Linked DNA regions of Rhinolophus ferrumequinum. The protein of the gene in region 1 interacts with the protein of each later gene in a pairwise test. Links are inferred from orthologs where the notes say so. Each region holds a gene or a part of one and is shown in the gene's direction. Other genes may lie near its edges.

Region 1 (7,633 bases):
CTCTTTAGTTTTCTTTCATCTAAAATAGTTCCTCCACCTTTTTTTGTCTTTCATGACAATGACATTTTTATAGAATACAGACTGCTTATTTTATGGCTTTAAAAAGGTATTTCTAATTGAAAAAAAAATATTGTGAGGATTAAATGAGTTAACATGTGTAAAGCCCTTAGAATAGGGCCTGGCACATAATAAGTAGTAGGTCATGGGTATGTCTTGGGGACGAGACTGTTCCCAGTTAGGGGGCAGCAGGAGAGGCATTCACTCAGTTCTTTTCCATCCACAGCCAGCCCCAAAGGCTCCAGAGTCCCCATCCTTGGACTCAGCCCTTGCATCCCCACTGGACCCTCAAGCCTGCACCCCAGCCTCCCCTCCAGACTCTCACCCTCCAGATTCTCCTCAAGACTCAGAAGCCCTGGACTTTGAAATCCCTTCCTCCTCCCAGGCGCCCCACACTCCGGACTCAGCTTTGGCCTCTGAGACCCTTGCTTCTCCCCAGTCCCTGCCTCCAGCCTCACCACTGCAGGAGGACCGGGGAGAGGGGGACCTGGGGAAGGCTCTGGAGCTAGCAGAGGCTCTGAAGGGGGAGAAAACAGAGCAGGGAGCCATGCTGGAGTTGGTAGGATCCATCCTTCGTGGCTGTGTCCCTGGAGTGTACCGAGTCCAAACTGTGCCCTCTGCCCGATGCCCTGTGGTCAAGTTCTGCCATCGGCCTTCAGGTCTCCACGGTGACATCTCCCTCAGTAACCGGTACCGTTGTTTAGGGGGGTGGTTGGGGAAGGCAAGCTGAGCGTTCTGGGGTGGCTGAGGAGGGAGCCCTGGTGGGGGAGCTCCTGCACATGCCACGCCTCAAGCTTATCCTTGTTTGGACCCATCCCTCTTTCTGCCACTCATCTCCTGCCTGTCTTCCATGTCAATGGAAAGTATCTTTTTTAGGATACTGTTTTTAAGGGATTTAGAAAAGAGTTCCATGGTTAAGTAAGTTTGGGAAATACTAAGTTAAACACAAATAGGTTTCTTCCTTCTCTCCTTCTGCCCCACTTCCTCTTTCTCATTTCCTTTTTTCCTCTCTTTCTCCTTTTCTCCCCTTCTCCCTCCCTTCTTGTCTTTGTTTCTTTGCATAGTAAAGGCCTGAGCAGGCTTTTATTAACAATAACACGCTCTGAATGTCCGAGACGGGCATATAGGATGTCGTGTTCTTTGTACAGCCTCTCACAAGACCACTGTGTCAGCAAACACTTAGGAAACCCTCTCTGGCCGCCGTTACAGTCTGGACTGGGAGCTGGGGGTGATCGGTTCAGAGCGTTCCTGAGCCGTAACGTCCTCGTCTCCTCTTTGTCCCAGGCTGGCCCTGCATAACTCCCGCTTCCTGAGTCTCTGCTCTGAGCTGGATGAGCGAGTACGGCCCCTCGTGTACACCCTCCGCTGCTGGGCTCAGGGTCGAGGGCTAGCAGGTGAGAGGCAGGAGAGAGCTGGGGCTGAGTTGGTGTCGGGCAAAGAAGGGAGGCAAATACAGGAACCAGGATTGAGAAAAACTGCCAAGGAAGGGATCGGAAGCACCTCTAATCTAACTGGAATTATTGATTATTTACCCAGGGAGTGGCCCCCTTCTCAATAACTACGCCCTGACCTTGCTCGTGATCTATTTCCTTCAGACCAGGGACCCTCCTGTGTTGCCCACTGTGTCCCAACTCACCCAGAAAGCAGGTACAGCAGCCGGCCTCCACCCTCTCTATCTCATTAGTTTCATCTCTTCTCTTCTTCGTCTTACTCACACTGAGTTACCCTGGGAATGAGATCTCCGCTATCTCCCTCATTTCCATCCCTCACCCTCCTTTCCCTCAATCTTCCTGCTTCCAGGCTGACCCTCACCTTTTTCACTTTCACAGGTGAGGGTGAACAGGTGGAGGTTGATGGCTGGGACTGCAGTTTCCCCAGGGATGCCTCGAGACTGGAGCCCAGCACCAATCAGGAGCCCCTGAGTGAGTTTGGGGAGCCCACAGAGGACTAATAAATAATGTTGATCACAACAGGAGGTAACACAGTTATTGTGTACCAGGCATGGTTCTCATAGTAGCCTTGGGGGACAGCTAGTGTTGTTATTGCCATTTCACATGTGAAGAAACCATGCCTTAGAGTAATTAAGTGGCTTACCCAAGGTTACACTGCTAGCAAAGGGAAGGAGTAGCGTCTGGGAAATGACATTGCTGGGGACACAGGAAGAGAGCGTGGCCTCATGTTTATGGGGATCAGAGGAGCCTGGCTTCTGGCACTGTTCTGAGCCACTTAGAAGGGAAAACGAAAGTCCTGCTAAGGGAATGGCTCTGGTTCAGGGTCTGTCTCAGTTCTGGCCTCTCAGTAACCCCTTTTCCTGGTCTTCTCCTCCAGGTTCCCTACTAGCCCAGTTCTTCTCCTGCGTCTCTTGTTGGGATCTTCGTGGCTCACTGCTCTCCCTGCGGGAGGGTCGGGCACTGCCTGTGGCAGGGGGCCTGCCCTCTAATCTCTGGGAGGGTCTGCGCCTCGGCCCCATGAATCTCCAGGACCCCTTTGACCTGAGTCACAATGTGGCAGCCAATGTAACCAGCCGGGTAGCCGGGCGGTTACAGAACTGCTGCCGAGTAGCAGCCAATTACTGCAGAAGCCTCCAGTACCAGCACCGTTCCTCCCGGGGTCGGGACTGGGGGCTGCTCCCCCTTCTGCAGCCGAGCTCCCCTAGTTCTCTGCTGTCTGCAACACCCATCCCCTTACCCCCTGTTCCCTTTACCCAGCTCACTGCTGGCCTGGTCCAGGTGTTCAGAGAAGCATTGGGTTGCCATATAGAACAGGGAACCAAGAGACTGCGGTCAGAGGGAGGTAGAAATGGAGATTCTCCCCAGGGAGGGTCAAGCAAAAGACTGAAACTAGACAGACAGAAAACAAGCTGTGAGGAGAGGCAGGAGGAGCAGCAGGGATGTATGGGGGAGCATGGCGAAGATGGGGTGGAAGAAATGGTTATAGAGAGTGGAGAGTCAGTGGAGGACTGGGCCATGCAGAGCCCTGGGCAGCCAGGGGAGCCTTCCCTGATGGCTGGAAAGCACCTTGCCACTGGAGGACAGGAGCAGTCAGGCCATGCAGCGCTGGCTGAGCAGGGCCCCAAAGGACCAGACGCAGCCCGAGAAGGGTCCCAGGGTGAGACAGGGAAGGGGGCATCACTCTCCTCCGTGAGCTGGCGCTGTGCCTTGTGGCACCGAGTGTGGCAGGGGCGGCGGCGTGCCCGGAGACGCCTGCAGCAGCAAACCAAGGAAGGAGGCAGAGGTGGTGCTGGCACGGGAGTAGAGTGGCTGGCGACTGAGGCTCGGGTAACCCAGGAACTGAGAGGACCGAGCAGTGCTGAACAGAGGCCAGAGACTGAGCCGCTCCTGACCTTTGTGGCGTCTGCTTCCCAGGCTGACCAGACTCTCACTGTGACCCCACTTCAGGATTCCCAAGGCCTGTTTCCTGATCTCCATCATTTCTTACAGGTTTTCCTTCCTCAAGCACTTCGAAATCTTCTAGAGTCAAGACAGGGGCCCTAAAGGGCAATTAAGCTGCTAGTTTAATAAACACTACAGTTTCCTCTAATTTCCACCTGGTAACAATGCTCCTTCCGCCTCGTACTTCCCCTCCCCAGACCTTAATGCAGCCTTCTCAGAGGTGTCGTCTCTGGCCACTCCAAAACAGGTCTCAGCCTGTTTCCTTCTTACCATTTATCACAACTTGCGGGGAGTGCCCAGGACGGTGTGTCTGGCACCTGGAGCCCACTTGGGAGAGTTCGGGAGTGATGGAGTGCTGAGTAGAGGTATTGAACAGTACCTGTGAGAAGAACCAAGTTTGCCTCTTCCTTTACCTTGCTGCCGAGATTTATGAATGGTGACAGGGCCTGAAATTTGAGTTCAGGGTTCTTCACGCATTCCGTCACTTAACAGAATTCATCCCCTTCTAAAACTGGGTAAAAGATTTTCAAAGCTGAACATGGGTAAATGGCAACCTGTATCAGTTTGTCTTAAATTGTCAATCCCTCCAGAGTGACAGGAGGTGGAAGGGATATGGCTGTTGTCCCTTAGCCTCCCCCCTGTTGCAGGCCCACAGACTAGTGCCCTTCTGGAAATAACAGCATCCTGGAGATGCAAGGTGGTTTAATGGGAGAAAAACTAAATTTATTATAACAGAGGGTTTCAGACTTAGGCTCCGATTAGACATTCATCTTATCTAGAAAACCAGAGCAGGTCAAAAGGAATTTGGCACACCGCCATCTCCACACCGTGGCGTGTCGCACAGTCACGATGTTCGGGGCTTCGCAGGACCTCCCATCAAGCCTCTCATCTTGGGCCTCACTTATACTGCGGGCCGGAGGGGGATGCCTGCGGCACCCAGCGCGGCGCAGGGATGGCAGCTGTGCCACGTAGCTGCCTAGGGGAAGCGGTCCAGCTAGTTCTCTCAGTTTCTCCGCGCCTCTCTACACGTTGGGACTCGGATTGGCCATACCTGAGGGGCGGGCCAGTCACGTGAGCCACTGCGCAGGCGCGAGCGTTTTCCGCGCCAGTCCGCAGGCCCCACCCCCTTTCCAATTCAGCTGCCGTGGTACCCCGAACTGTCGTGCGTATGCCTTCTGTGCCGTCCTCGCTTTCCGGCTGCTATTTCTCCACGGCGCTCTCCCGCCCCCCTCCCTTCTTTCCCTCACGGCTTACTTTGCGGCAGCACTGAGAGCCCCACCCCCTTTCTCTGCGGAATCACCATGGCGGCTGGGGTAAGTTTGCCGGCTCAGGCCATACAGGTCACTATATCCGACGCCATCCTCTCCCCGAGTGGGACCAGCCGGCGTCAGAGGAGTTCTGGAGCCGAGTGGGGAACTGATTCGGGGTCTAGAGATCTTACTGTTGGAGAGCAGGGCTTCCAGGCCCCGGAGGGGAACTGAGGCTGGGACTGTCGGAGGCCAAAGAGGTGGAAGGGTCTGGGTTATAGGAGAAAAGAGATGTCGGATCCTGGCCGTCTGGGGCCAGAGAAAGGGGTTCAGGTTCATTGCCACCTTGAGACATGGGATCCGGGCAGGTTGACAGAACTTTTGCGACCGTTTTGTGGGGCAACAGCAGAGACGGTGAAGAGGAGGGTCTTTGTGGGCAGGTACGGCTGGCCACGGTCTAAGGGCCGTCCATCAGGGAGGTTTGGGAGGGAGAGGTCTCTCGGGACTGTAGAGTCAGACCAGTTGGACCCCGCCGGCCAGGTAGGCAACACCAGGGAACTCACTGCCGGACAGGACCGGAGGAATGAAATGCGTGACAAGGGAAGAAAGGTTTTTTAGGGAGAGAAGATGCCATTCGTCCCTGTGTCCCTGTGTCTCTTCGGAGGGGAACTTGGAAATGTCTTGGTGCGTGTGTGTGTGTCTTAGAGACAAGGACGATGCTTGTGAAGCGGTGAGCCGCTCAGCAATAGACAGGCACTGGGTAACCATCAATGAATGAAACAAGGGCTCTGGAAAGGCAGGGGTGTATGTCGCAGCTGGAGTCTGAGGGAGCTGGAAGTTCTGGATTTCTTGGAGATATTATTTGAGGGGAAGAGAATGCTTCTACAGATGTCCTTAGGGAAGGTCAAATCTGTCAACAAGCTTTATTTAGCAGTTGGTGTGTAGTTCTGTTCTCCGTGTTTTGGAGGACTCTGATTACACATGGCAGATTCTGAAGAACTTGGTTCACCAGCCGGAGTGAAAGAGTGAGTTGAAGAGATTGGGATTGTTCAGGAAAGTCATCCCAGAGGTGACATGTAGGACTTGGGACCCTTCTACTCACACTGACATTCCCCCCCCTTTCTTGCACAGACGCTGTACACATACCCTGAAAACTGGAGGGCCTTCAAAGCCCTCATTGCCGCTCAGTACAGCGGGGCTCAGGTCCGCGTGCTCTCCGCACCACCCCACTTCCACTTTGGTCAAACCAACCGCACCCCTGAATTTCTCCGTAAATTTCCAGCTGGCAAGGTGAGTAGGGGAGTGGGAGGAGGGGTCTTTGGTCCTGAGAACCCAAGTGGCTATAAGATTCTATCACTTTGAGATGGCCTCCATCTTTAAAAGGGAACTTTCCATTTTTTTCCACATTATAGTGATTTAAAAAAAAAAATTTTTTTTTGAGGTAATTGCAGATTCCCATTAGTGAAGATACTAAAGAGATATTCAATGACATTTTAAAAAAATTACAGGCATACTTTGTATTTGTGGGAGAGAGAATGAGTTTTGACTGATTTCAGTGCAAATATGTCAAGTATCAACTATGAACAGAATCCTTGCCCCGCGGGTCTTACGGAAATAACCAGGCTGAGAGTAGAAGCTCAAGTGCAGTGTGGGGAGCACCATAATATTTTGAGTATTATAGATGTAGATATAAGACTTGGCTTCTGACCTTTTGCTTGTTTGATGGAAGGCTTTTATCCAAATATCCAATAATATCTAAATCTTTTGGGTTTATTATGTGACTTCAGATTGTAAGGGATACCAAGTTAATTCAAATATTTTTGGTTCCTGAGTTTCAGATAGTATCAGGAGTTTCGTTAGAAAGGATCATCAGCCTTATATAAAAACGTTTTTATCCAAAACAGTTCACTTCCTGGGATTGGCTAGTGAGAAATTCCTGTGAGTTTCATTGATCTTTTGACTGCTTTGTCCCCAGGTTCCAGCATTTGAAGGCGACGATGGATTCTGTGTGTTTGAGAGCAATGCCATTGCCTACTACGGTAATTTGCAGTAGATAGGGCATGGAGGTTCTGGAAGTGAGGGGTGAACGAGAGGATGAGGATGAACTGGAATGGACAAGGGGAGGGCTTTTTAGGGATTGGATTGTTGTTAGCACGATCCCCAGGCTCTGACCTTTGTGTTCTGCCTCTGCAGTGAGCAATGAAGAGCTTCGGGGACGTACTCCAGAGGCAGCAGCGCAGGTGGTACAGTGGGTGAGCTTTGCTGATAGCGACATAGTGCCCCCAGCCAGTACCTGGGTGTTCCCCACCTTGGGCATCATGCACCACAACAAGCAGGTAAGCCTTGGAACTTGGGGAGAAACCAGGAGTGGGGATGATATCAGCTGCAGAGTGTCAGGGAGTAAGGAATAAAATAGGTTGAGAAAAGGAGATGCCAAGAATATGTGGGAAATAAAGGACCTAATCTTTGGGGTATGAGTTTGGAGAACTGGGCTGTTGATGGTGTCTGAGTCTTTGTCGGACCCCGTGGGGCTGGTATCTGTCAATGGTGGTCAGAGGAGAGACCTCTGCTGTAGGAAGGTTATGCCAAATGGTAGGGGAGTGGTTAGACCAGATGACCTCTAAGGTTCCTTTTAAAATACAAAGACACATGGCTACGATCATTACAGTGGAGAATGAGGGAGCACTGCACCAAGAAGAAGTTATTATGTGACTTCATTTGTGGGAGCTTCATTTGTGATACGTTTGGAAGAATCCTAGAATCTGACTCCTTTGAAAGGGTTAAATGAAATGGCTACCTGAGTTCTGTTCTTGGGGTGAGGGAAAGGGTTTGGTCCTCACTGATACAGTTGGTCATTTTAAATCAATAGGCCACAGAGAATGCGAAGGAGGAGGTGAGGCGAATTCTGGGGCTGCTGGACGCTCACTTGAAGACGAG
Region 2 (7,262 bases), on another chromosome or scaffold:
AACATGGGGATGGATAAATCTTTCCAGTTCTCTTGACAAAGAGTTCCCCTCACTGCTTGGTAAGTTTAACAGTTATCCACTGGAGACATACCCACTGTACCCTCCGGGAGATTATGTAACAGCAGATCTGATCACCGGAAAGTTTTATGAGTATGGACAAATGTCAGTTTTTCTGTGTCACATAACAAGGATAAAGGTAAACTCACTAACCAAAAAGACAATTAAAAATAGGAGTTTTTTCATCAGTGGCATTGTGAGGGTATGGCTTGGTCTTTATGGACTCTAGAGTCCATCTAAACTTTTACCAATTCTGTCTTGGTCCTTTGAGGTTGTTTGGAGGAGGGACAGAGAGAGACCCAGGCAGGTGAAGGCAAACACATTGCACTTACTTTGTTGTCATCTCCGTATCTGATCATTTCATGAGCAAAGTCATCGGTGGGTCTGACACGGACAAACGCATGAACTTTTTTCCTAGTACCCATTCTAGCTAAAAAGAAGAAAATAGCGAAATTTTCAGTAGTCATTATCATCAAATGACAATAGAGGGGAGGCGTCATTCATTAAGAAGATCGGAAACGAGTGATGTGCAGTCCAAAGCTTCCTATCCCACTGGATGCCAGTCTTCTTTTTCACCCCTTAGCATTTCAGTGCTCTACCCGTGGGACACTGCCCAATAAGTATGTGTACTTCCTACTTTACAGGTTGCCTTGCCATTGTCCACCAATGACCCCCTACAGGACCGAAAAACAAAGCAAAGAACGCTCCCTGTAGTGGCCTAATCTTAGATGTAGTTTCTAGACAGGTCCTGTATCCGAGTCCACTAATGCTTTGCCTCATTCATTAGATTTTCCTTGCAAATATTTACTATGAAAGGTCTTAAAGCTAATTCTTTTCTTCATTAATATACCTTACTTCAAGTGCAGCACCTCCATCGATAACTTAGATCAGAAAAAAGATTCGCTGGATATATATTTAATCTAGCCCATAATCAAATATTCTTTCTTCTCTGGCACTCCATTGAGAGCAAAATCACCGGTCATCCCCTACTTCTTCTTCCTCTCCTAAAGCCTAACTATATTCTCTTCATTTTCTTTCTGTATATTTGTATTTCTTCATTTATGTGCAGCAGAGAGGAGTTGAGGCTAAAGAAAACTGCATACTTTTGAAAAAGACAACCAACAAAGGAATTTAATGAATTTATGAAGAGTTAGGGAAACATGAGGCATAGGGAGGGAGCTGGCTCCATTTCATCTTCAAATTAGAAAAAAGCAATATCAACACAGTTATTAAGGATAAATAGCTTGCCTGGGCTATTGCAAAGCACTCTAACAAACTGATATGATGTTTAATGTTGTTAAAAAGCTAATTTTCAAGACCTTTACTGTAAAGAAAAGTAAGGCATAGCAGGGATTTCTTCTTTTTAATGAAGTTAATTATTGCACTTTTTAAAAAAGTACATTACATAAAGAACGTTAACATTTTACATGCATTATCTAAGAGAGGTTCAATGAGTATTACCTGATAAAAATGATTCCATGCTTTTAAAATATTAATGTTCCTCCACGTTTCTAGACACAACTTGATTTCCTCTTACAATTGTATTAACTATCATCAAGTAGCACTGAGTATCTCTAGAGGCAAGATAAACAGTGACAGGGCCTGCCCTTTCCATTTAGTTTCAATGTGGACACTGAACTCTAACCCCAGTTACAAGCCCTTCATATGTCAAATCAAATAAGCAAACATGTTACGTTCATATTTGCCTATTGTAGAGTGTGTGTCCACTTCCTACATTCCTCAAGTCATGATTTCATGGAAGTCTTTTCCACTGTGGGATCATTCAGACCTCCTAATTTTTAGAAAATGAATCTGAAGGGTACTCAGGTGAACAAGGATAATGGCTTGTCCAATTGCAGTCCTGAAATTTTTGTCGGAAAAATTGAGCTCCAAGAACAAAAAGCTACAAATAACTCTACTATGAATCCTAAATTGAGGAAATTGAAAAGAAAATCTCATGTAAAGTTCACTTTGATCTAGACTACTGGGAAGTTGAGAGTGGAGGGAAGTGTGTTCTAACTCAAGGAAACACCCTCATTTTCTAAAGCTCTGGAACCATTCCCTACACACGTCCAAGGGCACGTCCTCCTGCCCAGGATGCCCTCTGAAGGGTACCATGAAGAAGTAGAGCAGCTCTGGGGGCAGGTGCTCTCCCAGCAGCCCCCACTCACTGACAGCACAAGGGCAGCACAGGCCAGCTCCAAGCACCACCCTCCCCTCTGAGACTAGCTCTTCTCTACCCCACAATTTGCCAACATGTACTTGCATGCAGTCATCCTATCTGTGATTCCCAAGCCCTCCCCATGCACACACCCATGGCACCAAGCATGCCAGAAGCCATACCCAACAGAGGCAAACCTTCTCTACTAACTACATCCCCCCCTCCCCTTGAGACTGCTACTCAGCAGCCCCTCAACACCCAGACATTTGGGGACCCCATGCCATCTTGCACTTACTGAAATGCTTGTTACTATTCTTACGTCGCATCATTTGAGTGGGTTTCAGCTCCCGAATTAAATTACAAACTGCTTGGGAGATAGGGCTGTGCCTTTCATCTCTTTTGAGTCCCCACTCAATGTCCAGAGCAGTGCCCAGCACAGAGCAGGTGCTCAAGAAATGGTGGTGGTGGTGATGGTCATGGTTGGAAGTCAGAGGGTGGCTGAATCTCCATGTTGCTCCATCTTCGGGCACTACTGAGAAAGTCCCAAGGGGCATATAATGTCACTCCCCTTCCACACCACCGCCAATACCTGAGTCCACAGCCCTTCTAGAAGGACACTTGGTTTCCAGGCACTACTTGCAGAAAAACATATTCAGTCTCTCACCACGCCCTCCCTTTTAGTAGGATCCTTCTCCCTCAGGACCTTGTGGGGAATGAATGCCCCTCTCTTCCTGGCACTCTCCTTCCATATTTCTGGTGTAAATAAATAAACCTCTGAGTGGTCACCAAGAAACATCCCTGCTGAGAGGATCGCGGTTTGCTCATTTGTTTTAGAGGTGAGAACGAACAGAATTGCCACCAAGCATCTGAAAGCTTGATAAAAGGATAGGGAGCATCTCCTGGGTCGGTAGGCACCAGGAGAGTCCCTATCTTCCAGCGCTTCTGCCCAGATGAGGGGCTCTCATGGGAAACCCTCATAGACATCAGAGCGGCAGAAGCATCTGAACCAAAATGAAACAAACAAAAGAATCGGTCCCAAACGCACCCATTCTTGGGTTAAACAAAAGACTCGGATCCAGGCAGGACTAACTGGCCTTTCTCCGTTTCCTCACCCAACATGCCGGACCCCGAGGTGGAATCTGGGAGGCAGTGGGCCTTGAGACCATTCCTATCCCTCTCTGGAGCGGTTTCCTAACCTGTAACTCGAAGGACTCAGACTGGCGTTCCGGGAGCCCCTCCAGTTCGAAAACCTACAAGTGCAGAAGAACCCAGAAGACCTCTGGCCCCCCGCCTCGCGCCCTCTGAACTATGTAGGACCCTGTGGGGCCAGAGAACGTTAGATCTGAAGAATCTAAGCCTCAGCCAAGCTGCAACGGACCCCGCGACGCCGCGTCCTCATCCGCCCAGGTTTCACTGATCAGCGAGCCAACCCAGTGAACTCCGCGTGGAGCGGTGTTCCGATCCCAGCCGCTGCCCGCCGCCGTGGCATACACCCTCTCTCCAATCTCCCTTCTCCCCACCCCGGCGCATGTCCCCTGCTCACCTCTTAGGAGGCAGCAGCCCTTTCGCAGCGCGACCGCTGCAACTGCCGCGACCGAAAACCGGTATGCTCGGCTGTGGGGCTGTATACACAGCCGCCATGGCAACGGGTTGCTTCCGGAGGTTCCGGAAGTATCGGGGTGGTGGCGGAAATGAAGTCTGAGGTCCTCTGTTGAGATACGAGTAAGGCCAGGGCAGAATCGGTAAGACGGGAGATGGGGCGGATGATTTTAGGAAGACTGCGGCAGCTGCAAACAGGAGACTAGGATCGGGATGGCGAGGGAACGAAGGCTGCACATGAACCAGGAAGCGGGGCAGCAGGACTTCCGGCGCAGAGCTGTCTTTGACTACGGCGGCCGCGCAGGCCCCTCTGATCCCAGCCCGGCGCCCGAGCTGCCGTCGGCGTGCTCCCGCGCCCCGCCCTGTTGAGTTTGGAGCCGGCCGGCCAGGCCTGCGCAGTCGAGGCGGCGGGGGAAGATGGTGGAGGACGGCGCCGAGGAGCTGGAAGACCTGGTGCACTTCTCCGTGTCCGAGTTGCCTAGTCGCGGCTACGGCGTCATGGAGGAGATCCGGCGGCAGGGCAAGCTGTGCGACGTGACGCTCAAGGTACCAAGGGCTGGACGGCGCGGGGCTGAGGGGAAAGGAACCCGGAGCGGAGGAAAGAGGGGCGGGGCCGACAGGGGAAGAGCGGTCTAGCGGGCTGAGGGCTGGGGAAAGGAGGTTGGAGGAGACCGAGTGGAGGAGAGAGGTGCGGCGTGGGAGACGGACAGGCACAGCCGCTCAGCCCTTACAAGGAAAGGCTGAGAGGGGCGCCGCTGAGGCCCTCGGAGTGGGAGACGCTGGAGTCCCCGCCTCCCCTTTCTGTCACACCGACAAGAGAAAATGCACTTGCAGCCCTTCCACCGAGGAAGGGGCGGTGGCTGTCTCCACATTCTGATGGGCACTGAAGCACCTTCTCTTGTCACCATAGACATGTCTTTGTGCCCTTCGAAGTTAGCTGTGTTGTAGGCTTTTCCTTAGGAGTCACTGCTTGCTCTTGATTATTAGATTACTACCTGGTCTCTTAAGAGCTTTCAAAATCGGATCTGGAAATCCTTTGAAGTGGGCAGCTGCTCGACCCCACACTGGGAGGCACACCACTGCCACCACCACAAAGGTCGGCAAACGGACTGCTGGGCTGCGTGGGGAGCGGGGTCTCTTAACCACCTGTTCCCTACTGGCATTCTGGGCGCAGGGGCCATCCTTCCGCCTGTGTTTTGCATCCATCTGCTGGAGAGCATGCTGGGCTGCTCCTTGGCCCGGCTGCTGAGCCATGTGGAGCCCTCCAGGCGGGGAGATGCTGCTGCTGCAAGCCGTGTTCCCTGTTGTGCTTTGGCTGGAAGGCTGTCAGCATCTGCGGAGGACCTCGTTTCAAACCAAAACAATACTCCGACGGAGCTCTTTTTGCTTTTATTTTCTGCAGGATTAAGGAAGCTTTTTTTCTTCCACATATTGGAGTCAGACCTCTGCAGGCCGTAGAATAGAATGACTAAGGGTGTGGCTTTAGAGATTGAAGGGTTTGGATTAAAATTGGGCAGGTTACTTAATTTCTTTCTCTAAGCATCAGTTTTCCAAATGTGAAAATAGGGATGATTCCTAATTCTCAGTGTTAGTGTGAGGATGAAACGAGAACATTAGTGGTATTCTGTGCATAATGCCTGGCATAAGTTTTCATCACTCTAAACCCCTCCTGAAGTTTTCCAGGAGAGGAGTGGAGTGGCCTGAGAGGGGGAAGGATCTTTAGCAGAGAACCAAGGGATTTGAGAAAATGAGCTGGACTAAAGGAGGCAGAGGAACTAGATGTAAATGAGAGATTTTTGTCCACCGTGATTATGTGGTACAAGATGTAGAGGCTAGTAGAGATTTGTAAGCAGCAGAATGATCACTGGCGTGAGTAGAGACTGGTGAAAAACAGTAATAGGGGAGAATTTTTGGATTAAGATTTAGCCTGTGCTAACCATTGTCACCTCAATAAATTTAATAATAATGAAAAAAAAGGATTTAGCCTGAAAGGGTGAGCCAAGGAAAGCTTGTAAGATACAGAGAAGCAAAGAAAGGCGTGATAGAGGGGGATGGCCACAGATACCTCTACATAAATTAAAGCAATGAATTTTGCCTCTGCATTTAATGCAAATACAGAATATAGCCAACCTTTAGCATAAAAATGCTTGTATGATTTTTCCATTGAAATGCTTTTTGTTCATACAAGGGGACAAGTAAATTATTCGATTTCCAACCGAGTGTCATTCTAAGTTGCTGTAATAGTTTCAAGGATCTGGGACATAAAGACCAGTATAAAGGCACAGGCTAGCTGCACAGGACCGTAGAGAGTATCTGCTTCATTGGTTCTCTAACTATTATGTAGCACCTGAGACCGAGCTTAGTGGCAGTATGATGGTGGGGGCCAGGGAAAGACCAAGCCAACCAGGCTCTCCCACATTTCCCTCCCATTCTCTAGTGCTGCTCTGTGAAATCTGTTTCGGTCTCTCTTTCAGGATAGCGTCTTTCCTGAAACTTCTGGTGATTCCAGACTGTCTTCCAAATAAAGAGGCATTGAAAAGTTGGAAGCTTTTTGGTGTGGGATGGGTTTATTGACTAGTGGGCCTCCCTGTAGGCCAGTGGCTCTCAAACTTCAGGGGCATTAGAATCACCTGGCAGCCTTATTCACCGGTTTTTGGGCCTCACCCCAGAATTTTTTATTCAGTACATCTGGCATGGGCTTGAGAATTTGTGTTTCCAAGTTCTTTGGTGACGCTACTCCTGGTCTGCCTAGATGGAATAAGCCTTGCTGTTATTTTAGGAGCCTTATGGTGGGAGGAGACCCGGGCCTCTGGCTTCTGTGTGCAAACATTCACTTAAGCCTCCTGAATGGGGCCGCTCCCTGCCTTCAGTGGTGCCCTGGTTACCCAAGTGTGGAGTCTCTAGTTTATCCTGTCCAGAGAATAAACCTCTGGTCCTCTGCAGTTGCTTGGCTGGTGAGGGGACGCCTCCCGCCTGTTTTCAGCCTTTCTTATGCTCACACCATAAGAGGAAACGTGTGTGTCTCCAACAGTTGAATTTTGGAGGGGGTTCTGCAGTGGTTTGCCATCTGCAGCAGTCAGTATTCTCCACCTAAGTCAGTGACTACACGTTTGTCTGCTTTTCATAACATTTCTAATCTCTTTCAGCTTCTTTTTCCTTGGGGGCTTTGCTATTTCTTGATTGTCAGTATGAGAGGTAATACGCATAAAACAGACTCGAGCCTGAGTTTGAATCCTGGCTCTGCCGCTTATTAGCTGTGAAAACCTGGGCAAGTTCCTTAAACACTGGTGATTCAGTTCCTTCATCTGTAAAATGGGGATCATCACCTGCCTAACAAGAGTGTTAAGGATTCCATTAGTTAATACACTTAAAAGAATCATGTGGTAAATGCTCAGGAAGTAGAAGATACTTACGAATCATAACTTAATGGGGTTTCTAGATGGAG

Evidence for each region.
Region 2: the proteins of EEF1G (region 1) and KLHL18 interact in binary tests that used the Homo sapiens proteins (3 or more experiments, as listed by UniProt). The two-hybrid records come from large-scale screens. The link is inferred for Rhinolophus ferrumequinum from reciprocal best matches to the Homo sapiens genes EEF1G and KLHL18.

Annotation. Positions count from the first base shown.
Region 1 is NC_046294.1:8,197,321-8,204,953, forward strand, and holds the start of EEF1G (elongation factor 1-gamma), read left to right. Parts: upstream 1-4,607; 5' UTR 4,608-4,750; coding exon 4,751-4,762; intron 4,763-5,827; coding exon 5,828-5,986; intron 5,987-6,671; coding exon 6,672-6,735; intron 6,736-6,889; coding exon 6,890-7,032; intron 7,033-7,565; coding exon 7,566-7,633. Other genes in the region: TUT1 (speckle targeted PIP5K1A-regulated poly(A) polymerase), read left to right, coding at 284-747, 1,342-1,451, 1,594-1,704, 1,887-1,979, 2,386-3,551. UniProt on the Homo sapiens protein: Probably plays a role in anchoring the complex to other cellular components.
Region 2 is NC_046300.1:8,393,979-8,401,240, reverse strand, and holds the start of KLHL18 (kelch-like protein 18), read left to right. Parts: upstream 1-4,198; 5' UTR 4,199-4,234; coding exon 4,235-4,363; intron 4,364-7,262. Other genes in the region: kinesin-like protein KIF9, read right to left, coding at 390-483, 3,762-3,859. UniProt on the Homo sapiens protein: Substrate-specific adapter of a BCR (BTB-CUL3-RBX1) E3 ubiquitin-protein ligase complex required for mitotic progression and cytokinesis.